Linked DNA regions of Alligator mississippiensis. The main gene of each other region encodes a partner of the protein of the gene in region 2 in a complex. Links are inferred from orthologs where the notes say so. Each region holds a gene or a part of one and is shown on either strand. Other genes may lie near its edges. The genes, in order: RAP1B and RASIP1.

Region 1 (10,098 bases), on a different chromosome or scaffold from region 2:
AGACCTAGTTTATACTATACACCAAGCAAAAAAGAATACAAGCCCAATTAAAAAAAATCATTTAAAAGCTTTCTATAACACTATTCTTTTGGTCCAATAAGAGAAAAAAAAATGTTGCTTCTTGCATATTCCCTGGACCATCACAGCTACAACACAACTCCAAACCTATCACAGCTTATGTGAAAAAGGAAGTTTCAGTGTAGTTCTAAGATTATTTAGCCACATTAATTCAGTTTTGAAGTTACTAGTAAAACACCACTGTCATAGAACCTTCTTTGTTTAGAAGAACTGGACAAGGAGCCCAGGAATCTCACAGTACATGTAAGATGTAAGAGGCATGAAATGCAGGGTCCCAGCCACAATTCCTAGGAAAGAAAACCCTAAATCCAATAGAAGAGTTAGGTCAGGGGTTTCCAACCCCCAGGCCACGAAGGGTTAGCTGCTGGTCCGCAGAAGGGTTGGCTGCTGTGAACCAGAAATGACCAGCATACCAAGGACCAGCAAACCACAGACTGGAAGTGATAAGCATACTGCAAATTGGCAGCCAACCCTTTTTTATATCGAGTATAAAAAAGGGTTGGCTGCCTGCCCGCAGTATGCCAGTCACTACTGGTCCACAGTCTGCCAGTCCTCAGCATAAAAAGGTTGGGAACCCCTGAGCTAAGCTATCCTGATCTGTTGTCTGGTCTTTCTCCCTATGTACCTGCTCAGCTGGGCAGTTTTTTCTTCCTGGCTACATAGCAGAAGTCACTTCAACTAGAGTCAACTCCAATACAGATTTCTAGTTGTGGATCCAAAATAAGATTGAGGGATACCACAGAATGTGGTTCCCCTCCTCACTCAATCCAAAGAGTAACCTGTAACTGTTAGCTAATTTCCTTAAGTTCTCAAGCAGGCAGAGGGTGTAGCTGGTGAGTAAGAAGAATTATAGAGTCAAAGTAGAAGGCAAGACTGGTAAACAAAAACAGCTCTTGAATGACAGAGATGAGCTACAAATTAATTTTGTGTCCCACGAAAGGACTCCCAACCCAACCCAACCCACCCGCAGCATGAGCAGCTCTGTAAAAAACTGATTTAACTTCATCTTGGAAAGGGGCCTTTTACTATAATACATTCAGTAGGGATGTTGATTTTCGCTAGATAGCTTCAACCATGTAGCCCTTGCTAAGTGCTGGTCTAACACATGGCAATTAACTGGTATAGCTACAAGAGAATAGTCATTCCACTGTAATGATACCAGCCAGTTTCTGTATAAGCACAAGGGAAAAACAAAAAAAGACTCAAAAGGTTCTTTAAGAACATATCCTAGACGTTTTAGTCAATGCTCTTTAACATGGTATTAGTAACTGGCACAGAAAAGGCTGAACAACTTACTCCTTGGAACAGCATTTAAGATATTTCACCTAACTTAAAAAAAGAGAAATAGATAGAAAAACTAGATCTAGAGAGTCTTTGAGGCCCTGACTCAAACACACCTGACCAGAGGAGGCGTCACATGCACTTGAAAGTTATTTCAGATAATGCTTCAACATTGTAGAACAGGAAGAAGATTGTGTAAAATCTCTCTGCCTTTGGTTCTGGTGTATCTGGCTGGACAGTATCTGCCCTAACTCAACAGGAACTCAGAGATCACAAAGCACATAGGTCCTAATGCCAAATGCATGCAATAGCTATGCAACCACACACCAAATGTACCTAATGCTATCATAATAAAGGAACTGCTAAATCTATTCTAAGTTAAAAAAGGGCAGGGAAATTTCCACTGAGAGTTGTGACAGTCTGAGGAATTTTAGTTTTTACAAGAAGCAAACTGAGGGTTTTCAACAGAGTATCCTTTAGGTACACACGGTGATGACAGGAGAGAGATTGCATTTAGATTCCTAGTAAACATTATGAACTGCTAGATGTTAACTAAGCTAACTACACTCCAGCACATCCTTTTTCCTTCTCTCAATCCTCTGAAAAGGTTCTATTTCCCCTCTCTCTCAGATTCGTACCTGTACAGCTACTGCTCCAGAATGACCCTTTTCCTTTTTGGTTCAGCCTGTCTTAACACATAAAGCTCTCACAGCATGAAACAGAGATTAAAGTAGGTGTGAGCCTTGCCAGTCTTGATGGACTGTCTGACAGTGGAGTTCTAAAAAGACTGCGCGGTTCTATCCAACATACTCTTTCCGCCCATACTGACCTGGCAGCTGAACCAAACACTATATAAAACCAGGGCACATGAAAGGAAATAACTTTCTTCTCTTTTATTCCTTCAGCTTGTATATTTTCAAGTCAGTTTCACAGTTTCTTTTACAGAGGCCTTTTTAAGGGGGGAAGAGAGACTGACTGACTGACTGACTGACTATGTAAAATAGTGGGAAGCCAGGAAAACTGCTAAGCAAACTCCAGGTTTATTCTTGAAGACAGAAATACACTTTTTCCAAGTTAGCAATAGTGAACTGATAGCATAGTTCTAGCCTGTAAGTAACAGGTCAAAAATTATTGCTGAGTTAGTCTTTACTAGGAGTAGGGTAAGGAGGGAAGGGCTGATCAAGTAGTCCTAAGCATGATCAATTTTATTGCAAGAGGTATTATGCAAGCAAGGCTTGAATACTTACAGTATCTATTACAACTTAAGTTCAAGACTCGTGGCTGTCTATAGCCTCCAGAAATCTCCTAACACCGTTAGATGGCATGTCCCTGCAATAGGCAGGAACCTAGAGAAGATGAACTGCTTTAACCAAACAGCCAATATCACTGCCAAAGTTTTTGCTACCCAGCAGTTACAGCAGCAGCCAGGGTGCATTTTACTGATCAGTTAGCAATCTCAGTTCTAGCCAGAAGGAAGAATACATTTTATACTGTAGACTCTTCCCAGTGAAAGGAGAAATAAGGAACCAGAATCCTGAACAAAGTAGATAAAAGCACTTAAAAGCACCCTGAATTAACTTCTTCCACTGGTTCCATTTAACAAAGGCATAAGTCAGTCATGAAGCCATTGCACAATTAAGGAAACCATTACTGTGAAGTTTACTGAAGGGTAGAAAAACCCTTTGCAGCCTCGAAGTATGACCTAGTATAACAAGGAACTGTGTCAGCCTTGTATCCAAGTATTTGTTGTACAGTACATGCATCAAGTAGGTTAGCAACACTTAATTAGGGCATCTCTGTTACAGGACATTTCTTGTTATAACTAAGAAATGAGTTTCCAATATCTTTTTTTGGAACAGAAATATTTAGGTGAACCTACGTTATAAAAAAAAAAAAAGCTTGGGAAAGCACCCCGTCCACTAGTTCACTGCTAAAACATTTGAAAGTGGAGCTGATGCATGTTGGAACTGAAACCAGACCTTTAAGGCAGCAAAATTCCTCTAGAAGAGACTGGTGTTCTGTACAATCACATTTTGGCCTAGATCAGTGATTGTCATCCTTTTTTGGACCAGGATCCATTTGCAAACATCAATAGCCAGTCTCAACTGAGTGCCTTCCGCCCCCAGCGTGCGGAACCAAGGGTAGCTGTGTAGGGCCTGTGGGGGGCCCCAAGCAGCCTCTTGCAGGCAGGAGCTCTGCCAGCCAGCAAGGGAAAACGCATGGTTTCCCACACTTTCCTCCTTTAAAGGAGAATCTGTTTTTAAAGTTTGTTTGTGACCATTTCATATATTCTTCTGACCCACTTTTGGGTCGTGACCTACCAGTTGAGAAAAGCTGGACTAGATGATGACCTCTGTAGGTCCGTTCCAGCCCAACTTATGATTCCTCTATGGTTTACTTAAGCAAACTTTGTAGAAACAACCCAACCCAGATTGTTAGAGCTGCCTGAACCAGACAATATCTATGACAAACGCTTAAGCGTTTTCCTTTGGACCCGGACGTTATTTCTTTAAAGGGACAGCTTGCAGGAAAGGGCGATACACAGCAGATCGGTAGAGGTTTCGTGGCCCGCCACCCCCTTCGAGCTGGCCAAGAGCCTAACACGCCCTAAACACAGCCCGGGGCTTATTCCACTGGGGCGCGGCGGGGGCTCCGGAGCCAGGGTCTGTTCAGGCCCCGACGACTCTCCGACGTGCTGCCCCCGACATCCGGGCTGCGAAGGCGACTGGGGGGAGGGGAGACGGGGGGACCCTCCGCAGGGCACCGCTCGGCGCAGCTCCGCACACAATAGCGCACGGGGGAGCGGAGACCCCGCGGCAACTTGGGCAGGACCCCGCGGCCGGGAGGGAGCTGCGGGCCCCTCCCCGCGGAGGGGCGCCCAGCCTAGGCGGGGCCGCGGGCTGCCGGGGCGCCGCCGCCCGACCCCGCCCCGCCGCCGCCTCGCAACTTTCCGCTTCCGCTACAACTTGGGCGGCGGCGGCGCCGGGCCGGGCCGGGGCCGCCTCCGCCATGTTCCCGCACTTGCCCCCCTACCATCGCGGCCCCCTCGGCCCCGGTCCCGGTCCCGCTCCCCGCCTGCCTACCTACCGGCCGGCACCGCCGCTGCCGCTGCCCGTGTGGCCTCCGGCCGGACGCGCCACTCCCGCGCGTACTCGCTGCCGCTGCTGGGCGAGGCTCGAGGCCGCCGCCGTGACGCCACACGCCTAGCCTCGCTCTGGCGTCCCCGGCGCGGCCTGGGGGCGGGGCAGGAAGCGCGCGGGGGGCGGGGGTGACCTCTCTACCCCCGGCTCACACTGCGCAGGCGCAGGCTGTCGCGGCGCCCTCCCCTCAGCGGGGTGGCGGTGTTGCGGCCGCCTAGTTCTAGCGGGCGGGAGAGCTTCCCCTATCGCCTGTCAGGGTTGCAGACAGCGGGACCGGCCCTCACCCAATGGGTGCAAGTGCCCCCGTGTCCTGAACCCCACTGGCAGAGACCTGGCCTGGCCTGGGTGGAAGGCCTCATTCTACACCCGCAGCATTGCTCTGTAACCGGGTCGCCCCTGCTAGCCACGGATGTGAGCCTCTTCTATGACTCAAAAACCTGTGAAACGTGCGTAAGAAAAACAAGTGCGAGGCCCCTGATTCTCAAGCACCTCAGATGCTCGCCCACATGGCAGCAGAAACCACACAACGCTATTGCTCTTTGCTTGCATTACTAAGCCTCCTGACAACTAGGGTCAGCCTCCACCGAAATCCACAGGGGATCTATTAATGTGGAAAGAACGGCAACGTGTCTTGGCTCTTCTCCCTGCTCCACATACGTTCATTTTCTATTAAATAATAGAAGATGCCTTTTTTTTCCCAAAAGTCACCAGGGCTCCTTTTCTCTCCAGATCAGAATGGGTTGGAAGAGTAAGTGTTAAAAATAAAGAAGACAGCTCTTCTGGGAAATGCTCAGTAGCGAGCAAACAGTTAATATGCCATGGCAGATAACACTTATTCAGAGGAAGTCTGCCACAGTGAGAAACTGACAGGAAGTTGCAATGGCGCTGCTGGCAGAGGGAGTGGGTGTGGAGGAAGCACACACTTTCTGTTTGTAGCGCAGAGATAGAGAAGGGGGGAAAAAAAGATTACATTTCCCTCCAAATGCATGGTAGTGGCGCATTACTTGCTGTAGTGCTTGGAGTCCATACAACGTAGAATAAACGTAGAGAAGAAGTGGCTAAAGTAGTCAGCAGAGTGACTAAGTCCACATTACGTGTCCTATCTACATTCAGGTCACCAAGTTCTTTTTACTTCTAAAAATAGTTTTCCTTAGGCCCTTGCACCAAAACTCCACAAAGTGTCATAAGATTTCTTCTCGGTCTTTTATGGCTAATCCCGTGTACAGCACTTGGATAATGAATCCCTATAAATGGCAGATCATTAAAGGGGACTCAGGCAGGGAGAAATTAAGTACATAGGCAGTTGCTCCCTTCTGGTCCACTTTTCAGGGTAAAAATCATTCATCTGGGAGATATTGGTTGCTTAACTAGATATATTTACAAGGAGATATTTTAAGTAAAATGATACTCTTGTGTTTCTTGGGACTATTAGTTTTGTATTATTTACTCTTAAAATAAGAATATTTGTGTTTTAGCATACTTTTATTCCTGTTTGTGTAATTTCCATCAGCTCCCTCAAACATCCAATAGATTAAAAGAGAACACTGAAATACATTTCCTGTGCCTTCTCTTAAAAAACATCCACAGCTTTCCTGCGTGAACTAATCACAAATAATAAATGCAGTACTTAGTGCTGATAGAAGTACTGCTAATCGCAGCAAAAAGGTAGCAATGGCTATAGTTAAGGTTACAAATTAGCTTCTATTATGATAATACCTTACCCACCCCAGCACTTTTCCTTACAGTGAGTTAAATCTTGCCCCTTTATTATACTATGGATGACACAGAAGAGCTTGAGGGAGTTTGTGAGAGTCTTTAAGCTTCATAACAGAGTTTCTTAGAAATCAGCTAATAAGAAGTATAGACATGCATAATGTGGACTCAGAACAGCAAATTGCTAAATATTACTACAGTTAGAAGAATTAGGCAGGTGGGATCTCACTTGTGGCAAAAGGCTGAGTCTACTTTCTCACCCGACCACACACTTGTAAGGTAACTGAAGTCTTTAAGTTTGAGAACTCTCAGCCAGCCCTCACAAAAATACTTAGGCCTGCCTTGATTATTTTCCCTCTATTCTGCACTGGTGAAGCCACATCCAGAGTGTCCAGTTTTGGGCCCCCCACTTTAGAAAGGATGTGGACAAGTTCGAGAGAATCCAGTAGAACACAATGGAAATGGCTAAGGGTCTGTGGCATATGACTTATGAGGGAACTGGGCTTATTTAGTCTGGAGAAGAGAAGACTGAGGGGGAATTTGATAGCACCTTTTAACTAACTGAAGGTTATTTCCAAAGATTTTATAGATTTCATAGCTATTAGGGCTGGAAGGGACCTCGGAAGATCATCAAGTCCAGCCCTGTGCCCCAGGGGCAGGAGGTCAGCTGGGGTCACAGGATCCCAGCAAGATAAACATCCAATTTTCTCTTGAAGGTATTCAAAGTAGGTGCTTGAACCAACTCCAATGGCAGGCTATTCCAGACCCTGGGGACTCGGACAGTAAAAAAATTCTTCCTTATGTCTAGCCTGAAACAGTCTTGCAGGATTTTATAACCGTTTGACCTTGTCATCCCTTGGGGCACTCTGGTAAACAAATGTTCACCCAGATCCTGGTGAACACCCCTGATAAACTTATAGGTGGCCATCAGATCACCCCTGAGCCTGCGCTTTTTCAGACAGTCCCATGGCTGTCAGCCTGTCGTCATAAGGTCTGTTTTCCTGACCTCTGATCATGCGCGTGGCTCTAATTGCACGTGGCTCTATGGATGGAGCTAGACTGTTCTCACTGGTGGCAAATGACAGAGCAAGGAGCAATGGTCTCAAGTTGCAGCAAGGGAAGTTTAGGTTGGATATTAGGAAAAACTGTCTCACTAGGAGGGTAGTGAAGCACTGGAAAAGGTTACCTAGAGAGGTGGTGGAATCTCCATCCTTGGAGGTTTTTAAGGCCCGAGTTGACAAAGCCCTGGCTGGAATGATCTAGTTGGAGATGGTCCTGCTTTGAGCAGGGTTTTGGACTAAATGACCTCCTGAGGTCCCTTCCAACCCTCACCGTCTGTGATTCTATTTACTGTGGTCATGGTGAACAGGTTTTGGGGGGGAGGCAACCAGTTTGTTTGCTAAATGCTCAGCTTGTTAAATGTTTCATATTCAACTCCATCAGCTGCTCTAGTGTGGATGTACCCACTATGAGATATAAATTATTGCTGAGGGAATGTCCTTTTTCTGTGCCTTTCTCCCTAGTACTGCTAGGATGGGTTACATCATATTTTCTCTGGAGAACTGTTATTGAGAAAGAAGCAGAACCTTATGTTCCCTAACCATTGCATGCAAGTGCCATGTCAAGAGAGACTCATTTCCCTGTTACCAAAGGTCCCTATATGCCTTTTTTTCTAAGTATCACTCAGTTTGGGGGCTCAAAATGATCTACTGCTACTCAACCAGCAAAATGATCTATTGCTACACAACCAGCCAACTCTCAGAGGCAGCAGAACATCCTACCTACAAATACTTCTACTACATGCTACAAGGGAAACTACCTAATATTTCCATTGCTATAGTTAAGAAAAACTGCAAGGCTCATATAGGGAATATTCTATAATGTTCTAGAAAGGAGGACTCATGGAGAGGGTGGGAGAGAAAAGACTGATGTATTTGAACATGGGAATCTTGATAGATTTAACTAGAAGCTTCAGTGGATTTGCTATGGTCAAAGTTCTTCCTGTGCCTAACAGCCCATAAAGTAATGTGGCTAAAGCATGCCAGTTCAGGCAGCCAGCATCAGTCAACTGCTTTTGATTATGTAGTCTGAAGGATCAGATGCCCATTTACAGCTGAGTCAACTGAAGACTTTCTTTAGCACAGAGCAAGGCTTGAACTCATGTTTCTACAGCCAAAGTAAGATACTACCACTGTTCTGCCATTGCATCTGTATTCTCAGGTCTGCAGTGGGTAAAATGTGGACTTGATAGATTATTTTGGGCAGAGAGGAGAGTATGAAATGGATGGACTTTTGGGGACACAGGGGAATATGTTCTTAAAGAGCTCCTTGATGAAAGGTTAGCAGCATATCCCTGAGTTACCCCCGGGCACCTTTTCTAACTTTATTGTTATTATTCTCAGTAAAGCTGCAAGGCCGTAGCAGGACAAAATGTAGTGCTGTCTGTATATTTCACCTTCATTACACCTAAATACAGGGGCTGAGGTGGCATGTGCGCTAAGGCACACTGTTGACAGCCCAAAAGATTGCCCCAAAATTTGAGGCAATAGCAGAAGTGCTCACTGTTCTTTGCAAGCAACTCTGAAGTTTAATGACCACGTGTCCAAGAATATTAAGACAATTGCTTGCCAGTTAACTACTGTGGACTTTCTATAAATTTGTCCCAAAGGGAATGAAAATATCACTTGCTCTTTCTGGGTAGATTCTTTGCTTTTAGAAGAAGGAAAATCCTTGTTTTGTGAGTGAAATGAAGGGCTGAATTCCTAGCTTGAAACCTCAGTTTAAGAGAGCAGATTGTGGTGTTATGGTGGGAACAAACACTCCAATTCTCAAGAAAGTGATAACAGTTTTATTAGTGAACACAGAGCCAGATTTATAGAGGGATTTAGGCCTCAGCATCGCCATGTCTAACTTTTAGGTGCTTGGGTACTGGAGTGGGGAAGAATTAGGAACCTAGGAATGGGATTCACAATAGCAATTCATTGAGTTGAGAGGATGCCTATGCACCGAAGAAAGAAACGTGTCTCAAATCTTTCCTCTCTCCTTGATTTGCATATCTACATGAGACTAGGATTTGGATTCAAACATCCAAGTGGTCCCTTAGTGTCACTCATTTTTATGATGTTAATGGTGGTGGTTGCAGGCCTCTTAATAACCTATTGAGTACAGCACTTGCCCAGATGTCTAGTACCATATCAACTGGGAGGATTCAAACTTACATTTCCCACATCACAAGAGATTAACCTAACTGCCAGGGTTAGTTGAGACAGGGCCTTTTTCCAGCTTTTCCTTTAAATCTGTGCCACTGTTCAGAAAGGAATATGATTACTGTAGCCAGATATAGAGGAAGCATGACTGCAGTCCAGTGATAAGGGCACTGCCCTGAGAGGCCATATCTAGTTTACACCTCAGACTTACCATGTGATGCAGCAGTGTGCTCTGCATGCTGTTACATGTGCGTTACCTCCCAAACTAGAAGTAATGTAGCCTTGCCTGGCTCCATGGGTGGTTTAATTAGCACCATGTTTTGTGCTGTAGACGTGCCTTTAGATTCTTATGACCTTTCAGGTTTAAAACCCCTAATGGTCAGGCTGGGTTTTTCTGGATAATTCACTTGGATTTAGATGCCTAAAATGCACTTTAGGGCTGTGTCCAGACAAGCGCAGCCGTGCAGTATGTGGCACCACAAACATGTCTTTGGTACCACATACCGCACAGTCAAGTGTTCTCTATGCTTCAAGGTAGGAGCAAGCGGGGGGGGGGAAGGGAGATGCCAGGGCCAAAAAAACCCATCACAAAAAGAAATAAGGGTGGTGCACACAGGCACAGCATATGCCACCCAAAACCAGAGCCTGGCCACCCAGAGCCACACTTCAGTTGCCACCCA
Region 2 (9,663 bases):
AGAGCTGTGGGCTGGGAGCCAGGACTCCTGGGTTCTGTCTGAGCTCAGTGGGATCCAGTGGGGTTAGATCAGAGGGACCATGAGTCAGGATTCCTAGTTTGTACTCCCCACTAGCTTAGTTCAGAAAATGAGAATTCCATTGCCAGGAACCTCTTGTGGTTTCAAAGTCTGTTGCTCCGATAGAGTGGACAGAGAGGGAGGCTTCCCCAACAAGGCCAGAGAGCCAGTGAGGCCACTATCCAGTACGTAGGACTACCTATTCTTGACTGCCAGGTCCCAATAGGATGCAAATTACTACCTAATTATGCTTAAAGCTGACCGCTGATTTTATTGCAAAGACACATCCTGTGGGCCACAGGGGGCCCCACAGATAAGCCCCCCTTTTTGGTGTAATTATGTTTCAAACCAGATTATTTTTCCTATTTTTGACAGAATTTTAATTGCAAATTATTGTGGGTTTGCTTTTTTTTCATTCAAAATCAGTTCTTGGCCATTTTCTCCTTAGATTCCTGCTAACATTCACTACATCTTTGACAGATTTTGGTAAACCCATTTTTTAAAATCCTTCTTTGGTTAAACTGATTTTTTCCTACCTGTTTTTGCTTGCTTGAACAAAAAAGAACACATTTTGTTGAAAATTTGCAATTTTTTTCTTGCAAAAAACACCCCAAAATATATATATACACTCCACCTCCAACACTCTGCCAAGTGGCCCTTGTGGTTCACTTGGCAGCTCAAAGCACACTAAAAACCTGTTACAGTTCACACTGCGCAACCGCGTGCCCATACACCTATCTCTATACTCATACCCCCACCCACTGCCCTCCTCAGAGGGTCTACTCCTGAAAAAGTCTATGCCAGACCCCTCTCCAGATGAGGTCTGCCATTTCTCTCCCATCATCCTCTTCTGTCTTCCTATAATACCAGTACATTTTGCTTAGTCCCATTTTAATACAGTCCTCGACTATGGGGTCTGAGTGTCTGTTTATGAACAGGTTCCTGGTTTTCCACAGTGCGTACCTGAAGCAGGATATGAACTGGTCGAAGTGAGCTGTTGGGGTCCCTTGCTGTCTGGTCAGGTGCCAGTAGAGAGCCACTTCCCTGGTCAGATTTCTGAAACCTGTCACCACCAGGAGGAGCACACGGACTTTCTTCCACACCTCCTTGGCATATAGGCAGTTCCAGAAGAGGTGGTCAATCCTTCCTGCCTGCCAGCAGCAGGTGGGCCTCAGGCAGTTTGATGGACCTCTCTGCCCTGCACTGTTTTTCTGTGCCTGCACGGGGAGTGCTTGGTGGGCTGCTTGCCAGTTCAGGTCTCTGTGCTCCTTCTGCAGGTCTTTGTGGAAGATTCGCTCCCACATGGCCTGGCAGCTCTCACCAGGTAGTAAGCCTACTGGTGATGTGGTGTCTCTTGCCCTTGCCACCTCCCATATCTTGCAGTGGTTCACCAGGGTTGCTAGGGTAGCATCGTGCAGCTTGTATTTCTCTTGAAAGCACTTCAGGATCTTGTAAAACCATAGGGAAAGCATAGTCCACAGCTCCTGTTAGTTGTTGTGTGCACTTGCCACTTGCAGCAACTGCCCTGCAAAATGCTTAACAAAGCTGGCTTTTTTAGATTCCACCCCTGTTGCCATTTTGCAAACCTGGCTCATATATTTGGCCCAGAGGAAGAGAAGGACGCGTGGCATCCCTCTGCCTCTGGACTGTTTTGGTTTGTACTGCTTGGCCCTCGCCACTTTCTCCCATGTGGAGTTCCAAAAGAAAACACACATGGCTCTCTGGATTCTGCGAACGACTTGTTCTGATGGGGGAAGACTAGAGCGGTGTGTCTAGGCAGGAGCAACGTCTTCATCAGCGCCATCTGCCCCTGCATTGACAGGCAGTGTGATTGCCATAGCCCCAGCCTCTGTCTGGCCTTGGCTTCCATCTTCTCCCATGCCCTCGGCCCCGCCAGCTCTGGGTCAAACTCCACCCCGAGGATCTTTACCCCTTCCTGGGGGATGGAAACCCCCAGGAGTGGTCCTCGAGCTTACCCAGGAAAATCTGCAATGGAAACAAAGGCTCCTCACTGCAGTGCCCTGTCTGTAACAGCAGCTTCATTCTTTGGGTGAATCTGTCCATCCCTTCTGGGGCAGTGGGCAAGCAGGGACTCAAGTTCATACAGAAGCTAAGACTGCGACACAGGCATAAGGTTACAATGGCTGAGCATGTCTGCTTTCCTTCCTCACAGCAGAAAGAAAGCGCAAGCTGCAAAGCAAAACTAACTGCATGGGATGCCAGGTACGGCTGGGTTTTCTGTTCTTTAAGCACTTGGCCACCCAAACACCCTCTCTCTAGTCAGCTCCTTGTTCAGTGCATTTGTATCTTGAAATCCAGCTGATACCAGAGCCTACCATGATACTGGGTGCTGTCTTGCCCTGCTCTGAGACCCATTGTAGACTATCCTGCAAAGCACCCATTACTGGGAACATCCCACACAGCCAGTGCTCCTGCCCCATGACCTCCCACAGCACCCCTAGCTGGGATTCAGGCAAGTTATTCTTAGGTGGTCCCTCCTGGATGATAGTGGTTTACTGTCTTACAGGGACAAAAGGATGGAGGAAGGCTTGGATGGGTGAATGCACTGCCCTGCCATGGATTTTCTATAGGCGGGACAGGCAGGAGCAACCCTGTCAGAAGAACCCAGAGGGGCCCAGCTGCTGCAAGCTCAAGAAGCCAGATAGATAGAAGCAGGACCAGTTCTCATATTAAATACTTTCACTGTGAAACTGTTACACCACTGGACCCATGGGCCGGCTGCAGGGCTTTTGGGGGAGTTGTGCTGTGAGAGGTTAGCTGCACAGGGGGCACCTGGCTGCAAGGAGCAGGCCAAAGATGGGGCATCATGCTTGGAGGAGCTGGGAAAGGGGAGCCATGTTTGGGGAGCAGAGCAGGGAGCGTCATGCTGTGGGGAGTGGAGGGGGGGCAGGTACGCTCTCCCCTCTGCTGGGTCTCAAGGGAGTGGGGGAGTCTGTATGGCGGCTTGTGGGGGGGGGGGGGGTGCTGGGAAGGTCCTGGGAATAGTCTTGTAGTGGGCTGTGCACACATGGGGGGGAAGCAGGGTGGGCGTGGGGTAGCCCTCATTTCAGAAAGCTGTGGGAAACCATGGATCCCCTGTGTGGGGGCTGGGGCAGCTGCTCGGGCATGGAGAGACGCCATCAGGACGTCATGGGGGTCTGGGGTAAGCAGTGAGGGGAACAAGGGAGTTCTGTGGTGGGGCGTGGGGAGAGCCCACGAGTTGGGCTTGTGGAGGCTGGGGGGAAGAGGGGATGTGAAGGGCCAGGGAGGGGACAAGCTGAGTGTTGGGGTAGGTGGTCAAGGGGCAGCAGTAGGGGTTGGGGGCTGAGGAGGGCAGTTGTGGGGGCTGTGGAGTCCTGGTGTGGGGGCAGGGCTTTGGAGGGAAATCGTGGGGGAGCTGAGGGGGGCCATGGTTGCGGCAGGGGGAACCCTGAGGTGTGGGACTGTAGTGAAACTGAGGACGGCGACTCCCTGCTGTGGTTGGCACAGCAGGAGCTGGTGCTGCCCTGGGCTGCTGCGCTGCTGCGCCTCTGGCAGGGATTGTTGTGGGGGGAGGCCATGTTTGGGGGGCACCTGGGTGGGGTCTTGGGGCAGGGAGCGACTGCCCCTCCCTGTGCTCTGATTGGCTGAGCAGCCCCTGCCCCCCACAAGGAGCGCCCCCCTCCCCTGCCCCCCAGAGGGTTCCATGGCAGTTGCCAGTGATGGGTGGGGCTGGGACATGCCCTGGGCTCTGATAGGCTGGGACATGCCTTGGAGGGAAAATTCAGCCAATAGGATCTGGGGGGGCTAGATCCCTCCCTGCTCCTGCACCTCAGTCAGCAGTGTGACTCCCCCAAGGCAGGGTGGGGGTGTGGGTGAGGAGCAGGGAAGGGGGCCATGGTCTTGTGGGGGAGGGGTAGGGGGGGCACAGGGGCGTCACACCCTCCCCTTCCCTGCTGGGGGCCCCGGGCCAAGGCCCTAGTGAGCATCATCAGGGGAGGGGGCTCTGGGTGGCCGGGGTGAGTCATCAGGATGCCTGGGTCCTCTCCCAGCTCTGGGGGGCAGCAGGCCTGAGCTGTCCTACCTCCTCCCTTCCCAGAATTCCCAATGGTTGGGCACAGTGAGATGCGGCCCCCAGCGGGGCCCCAGGGCAGCTACCTGACAGCGCCCTTCGACCCCCGCTTCCCCAACACCAACCAGACCCGCAACTGCTACCAGAACTACCTGGGTGAGCAGCGGCCATGTCGGGCAGGACCGCGGGGCCTTGGTGGGGGAAGGGGCTGGGAGCCAAGACACCTGGGCTCTGTTTCCAGTGCGGGGAGGAGGTGGGGGCAGGAGTGGGGGCGCGGGGGTTGGGCAGTGGCAGCCCCACCTGGTGCCCCTTGCAAGTGGTGAGGAGCTGTGGCGGGGCTGTCCTTGCAGACTATCATCGCTGCATGAAGGTCCTGACAGCAAGGGGCAGGGACACCAAACCGTGCCTGTGGTATTACCGTGTCTTCACGTCGCTGTGCCCCTTATCCTGGGTAGGTAGGGGATGAGGCAGGGCCACCAGTTCTTTGCAAAGAGGCTGCCCCCCACTCCACCACCCCCTGAGCTGGCCATTCCCCGACCCTGGATCAGAGTCACTGCTCCCTAGAAGGGAAAGGACCCTGGCCCTGTCCTCCCTCCCTGAGCCAGATCAGGTCAGGTCAGGTGCTGTGGGGGGGAGAGGGACTGCAAGGGGGTGCTTTCTCTGGGTCACCATCCCCTCCTGTCCCTGAACAGCTGTCCATCTCCCCCAGGTTCAGCACTGGGATGAACAACAGGAAAAAGGGAGCTTCGCTGGCAAGATCTAAACCCCAATGTGCCTACCTGAGGGGCAGAATAGTTGGCCATCAGCCTTGTGTGTCCTTCTCTTTGTCCTACCCTTCCAACACAGCCCTCAGTCTCTCTCAGTGGGCTTGCAATAAACCCTTGTTGCATTTCAGGTCTTACTGAAGTCTGTTTGTCTTGCCCGCCCCCCCACCCCGCTCTCAGCCAAGGACAATTCTCTTCTTGCCAAGGTGGCAGGGTTATAACAGAAGGAGGAGGCTATGGGTTCAGTCCCCACCCAGGGGACCTCCACAGCCAGCACATCCCAAATCCATCACTGGGGTATTGGGGGCAGAATGGGACCCCCTGGGTGGTGGTCATAGGCAGTGTAGGAGCAGTGAGGGAGCTGCTACAAGTCTTTGCTATGCTGACAGCCTCCCAATCACGCCAAATGCAGTCATGCACATCCTGGGTTGTAGGGAGCATGTGCACACAGCCAGCAGGCCTGCCCACTGGCAACCTGTCCAGCCCTTCAGAGCCCTGTGTCAACTATATGCATTGCATGCTTCAACATGCATGCTTTAACACACACCGTATGTCTCCAAATGCGAACTGCATGCTTCAGTACATGCATTGTGTGCCTTGCCATATGCACTGCCTCTGAACACCTCAATATGGACTCACACTACAAACCTCTCTGCAGCCTGCACTGCATACCACTTCAACTTACACACATACACAAGCAAACCCACAGGCTACACAGCACCATGACATTCACACACATGATGTAAATGGCTTCACCAACATGCAGGCGCTCTGCGCACCCTCTTGACTCTCTTATACGGATACACTGCTGACCCCTGCACAAGAACACTTGCACTTCACACTCTGACAACATGCATGCCCAACATCTCCTTGCTTGGGCTCTCTGGCCCTGAAATCCCTTTGGCTCTGCCCCTGCCCCTTCTCCCTCCCACCCTATAGCCAAAGCCCTTTGACTGGGCATGAATCTGTGCTCCCAGCCCCCGCCCTGGCGCAGAGGCTTGGCTTCCTGGCTGGCTCGCCTTTTCCTGCCCCCCACCCCCTAACTACACTGGCCGTGTGAGTGTGAAGGGAAATCCGTGCTCAGTGACACGGGAGAGCTGAAGGCAACGCATCAAGACAAAGGCTGGGAGCAAGGCTGAGGTTTCAGCCGCCACAGGGCCATGGAGCTGCCCAGGGAGCACTTGGAGGATCTCTGAGAACAGGGACTCGACCACGGTGCCCACGCTGGGCACAGCCAGATCCCGGACAGCACTGGGTAACTTCTCCCATCTATATGATTTGGGGGGAGGAGGGGTGTGAACTTTAAGGCAGGTGGAAACCCTGGGAGCTGGGCCACTGAACCTTGAGACAAACATCCCAGAGACTGTGCTGGGCCAAGCTGGGAGAGACTCAAGAGTACTCATTCCCACTTCTCTCTCTCTAACTCACCAGGCTCCATTCCCTTCCCTGAGCCTGGACAGAACCTAAAAGTGTCCAGGCTCTCAGCTCCCCTCCCTAGTAGCTGGGATGGAACCCAGGCCCCCAACCCCACCCCAGTTCTAATCCTAGACTCCACTTCCCTTCCAGAGCCATGACTGAACCCATCCTGGCTCCCATCCCCCTACTCTAACTTTAGACCCCACTGCCAAGCTGGAAAAGAACCCAGACATCCTGGCTATCAGCACCCTACTCTAACCCACCAGTCTCCATTTGCCTCCATGAGATGGGATAGAACTCAGGTGTCCTGCCTGCATAGCCAGGCCACTTTGTAGATTTACACTGGGGTCCCTGGTGCCAAGCCCCATCGCCCAGGCATGAGGACAGTGTTTGGGTCAGCTCAGATCTGAACATTCCCAGAACTCCTTCCTAGCTTATGGATCCTATAGCCCTCACACTCCCCTGCTTCAAATCCAGTTGTCCCTGGGGCAGAACATAGTTGGGTGGGAATTATAATGGGGCACACACCACTTCCCATTGACTTTTTTCTGTCCTCCCTTCCCCCCACGTTAGGTGAGAGCTCCACATTGATGAAGCAGTGGTAGAAAGGAACAAGGCCGAAAGGCATTAGGTCTGTTTCAGCCCCCATGAGGATGAGGGCTGGTGGACAGGACTCCTGGGTTCTGTCTGAGCTCAGTGGGATCCAGTGGGGTTAGATCAGAGGGACCATGAGTCAGGATTCCTGGTTTGTACTCCCCACTAGCTTAGTTCAGAAAATGAGAATTCCATTGCCAGGAACCTCTTGTGGTTTCAAAGTCTGTTGCTCCGATAGAGTGGACAGAGAGGGAGGCTTCCCCAGCAAGGCCAGAGAGCCAGTGAGGCCACTATCCAGTACGTAGGACTACCTATTCTTGACTGCCAGGTCCCAATAGGATGCAAATTACTACCTAATTATGCTTAAAGCTGACCGCTGATTTTATTGCAAAGACACAACCTGTGGGCCACAGGGGGCCCCACAGATAAGCCCCCCTTTTTGGTGTAATTATGTTTCAAACCAGATTATTTTTCCTATTTTTGACAGAATTTTAATTGCAAATTATTGTGGGTTTGCTTCTTTTTCATTCAAAATCAGTTCTTGGCCATTTTCTCCTTAGATTCCTGCTAACATTCACTACATCTTTGACAGATTTTGGTAAACCCATTTTTTAAAATCCTTCTTTGGTTAAACTGATTTTTTCCTACCTGTTTTTGCTTGCTTGAACAAAAAAGAACACATTTTTTTTCTTTTTTTTGGGGGGGGGGTGGAATCCCTTGGAGGAGCTGGGGGTCCTGCTGCTGTGACAAAGCATCTAGAAAGTGGACAGTTAATGCTCCTTGGGCTACAGCACAGCTTCCCCAGTCAGAGCCAGAGAGAAACAGGTGCCCTGGTTCCTAGATCCCCTGCTTGAACCCACTAAATTCCACTCCATCCCAGAGCTGTGGAAGAACCCAGGAATCCTGACTCCCAGCCTCTTGCTCTAACACACCAGATGGTTTAGAACAGGGGTTTGGGAGCCAGGATGTCTGGGTCCCACTGGGGTGCAGTGGGGCTGCCCCAAAGCTCCAGGCTGCTTAGGTCGCCAGGAGGAAGAAGGCTGTGTCCTCTAGACACCCATGATATGTTCACTTGCTATGGCTTCCTACAGATGTGATTGGGGTGACATAGTGGGTGTTAACTCACCCTCCCTGACAACTTCACAGGGAGGGGCTCCAAAGAGAACTCCAGGTGTCCTGGCCTTCAGGTCTGTACTTTGACCACTGGGCAATGAGTTGGTCCAGTGACTTAGAGCTGGGTGCTGGACTCATGGCTTCTATTCCAACATTGGCAGAGGAATGAACTCTGGTGGGGTCTGCGAAGGGACTGGGAGTCTGCCCTCCTGGGCTCTAGTCAGGAAGTAGTATGTAATATGTTAAAGAAGGGGCTGAGATTCTGGATTCCTGGGTTCTGTCTATGGTTCTTTGTTAGACTTTGAGCTCTCTTCTTCCCCTACCCTCCCATCAGTGCCCTGCCCTCATCTATATTCGCTCATGCTTATGGCCTCAAAAGGCTGGAAATGCCATTGCAAGAATTAAGAACAGAGATCTTTGAGTGGAAACAGAGGGGTAAGGCACTGCATGTGCGCACGCCTCTGTCTGTATGTCACTGTGTCTGTGCATGTGGCGTTGTGATTGGGTGTGTCATGGCACAGATAACTGTGTATCTGTCATTGTGGAAATGTGTTACTGTCACTGTGATACTGTCAATGTGATACTGTTTTTCTTTATCTCTGTTAGTGTGCATTCAGTGTAATTTAAGTCTGTCTGTGCATTTCATTGTGTCACTGTGTGATTGTGTGTCATGCTTATGCGTTCGTATCACAATGAGTATCATGTCTGGATTTGCATCACTGTGTGCCCTTTCTCATGATATGTGTATCACTTTGTGCGTATGTCACTGGGTGATTGTATATGTATACAACTATGTGTTACTCTGATTATAGATGCGTATTGCTGAATTGGTACATGTCATCATGTGATTGCATATGTGTCACTGTGCATGTATGTTCCTATCATTGCATATGTATAGCTCTGATATAATGTGTCATTTTGTGACTTCATCCATGTGTCCCTGTGCACATATATTGCTGCGTGATTTCCTATGTGTGTCCATGTGCATATGATCATCCTTGTGTGTGTTACTGTGTGACTGCTTATGTATGTCATTGTGTGATTACACATAAGGTTCCTATGCGTGTGGCTGTGTTGCTGCCTGTTTGTCATGCTGCTGCCTCCCGCAGGTGCTGACAGAGCTGGCACCATGTTCCCAGAGGAGCGGAAGGATGGGAGCCCGCGCTTCGGGAAACTCCACTTCCCGGTTGGCCTTTGGATCAACTCACCCAAGAAGCACTTTGCCAAGATGAGCCGCAGATGGCCGAGCGTGGGCTCTGTTAAGTAAGAGCCCCCCCATAACTGCCCCATCCCTGCCCTAGACCAGCACCATAGGCCCATCTACCCTGGTTTCCTGCCCCCCTTTGTGCCCTGCATCAACTCCACATGCCCATCTATCCTGGCATCCCACCCCTCCTTGCTCTAGATCAGACTCACCAGCCCATCTATCTCAGCATCCTAGCCCCTCCTCACCCCACAGGCCCATCTAACAGGACCCAATATTCCACCTTCTCCCTTTTCAGATCCACCTCCTCTGATACAGCAAGCCGGGGCAGTGAGACAGTAGAGCTGCGCCCACCAAGCAAGACGAAGCCAAGCCGGCACAAGCGGCTGTCTAACCTGTTCCACCGCAGTGTGAGCAGCACGGGGGTGGGCACAGCAGGTGCTGGTGGGCGCTGGGCTAGTGAG

What was found.
Region 1: the proteins of RASIP1 (region 2) and RAP1B are in contact, whole or in part, in a crystal structure (PDB 5KHO), measured with the Homo sapiens proteins. The link is inferred for Alligator mississippiensis from reciprocal best matches to the Homo sapiens genes RASIP1 and RAP1B. Residues at the interface, in NP_060275.2 of Homo sapiens: Val147, Lys149, Ala156, Ser157, Gly158, Ala159, Asn160, Tyr161, Lys162, Ser163, Val164, Leu165, Glu181, Arg182; in NP_001010942.1 of Homo sapiens: Val24, Gln25, Asp33, Pro34, Thr35, Ile36, Glu37, Asp38, Ser39, Tyr40, Arg41, Glu54, Leu56, Phe64.

Annotation. Positions count from the first base shown.
Region 1 is NC_081827.1:69,296,254-69,306,351, reverse strand, and holds the start of RAP1B (ras-related protein Rap-1b), read right to left. Parts: upstream 4,602-10,098; 5' UTR 4,443-4,601; intron 1-4,442. UniProt on the Homo sapiens protein: GTP-binding protein that possesses intrinsic GTPase activity. Contributes to the polarizing activity of KRIT1 and CDH5 in the establishment and maintenance of correct endothelial cell polarity and vascular lumen.
Region 2 is NC_081828.1:74,899,666-74,909,328, reverse strand, and holds the start of RASIP1 (ras-interacting protein 1), read left to right. Parts: upstream 1-5,939; 5' UTR 5,940-6,127; intron 6,128-9,104; 5' UTR 9,105-9,124; coding exon 9,125-9,258; intron 9,259-9,497; coding exon 9,498-9,663. Other genes in the region: cytochrome c oxidase subunit 6B2, read left to right, coding at 3,145-3,220, 4,136-4,264, 4,459-4,559, 4,818-4,871. UniProt on the Homo sapiens protein: Required for the proper formation of vascular structures that develop via both vasculogenesis and angiogenesis.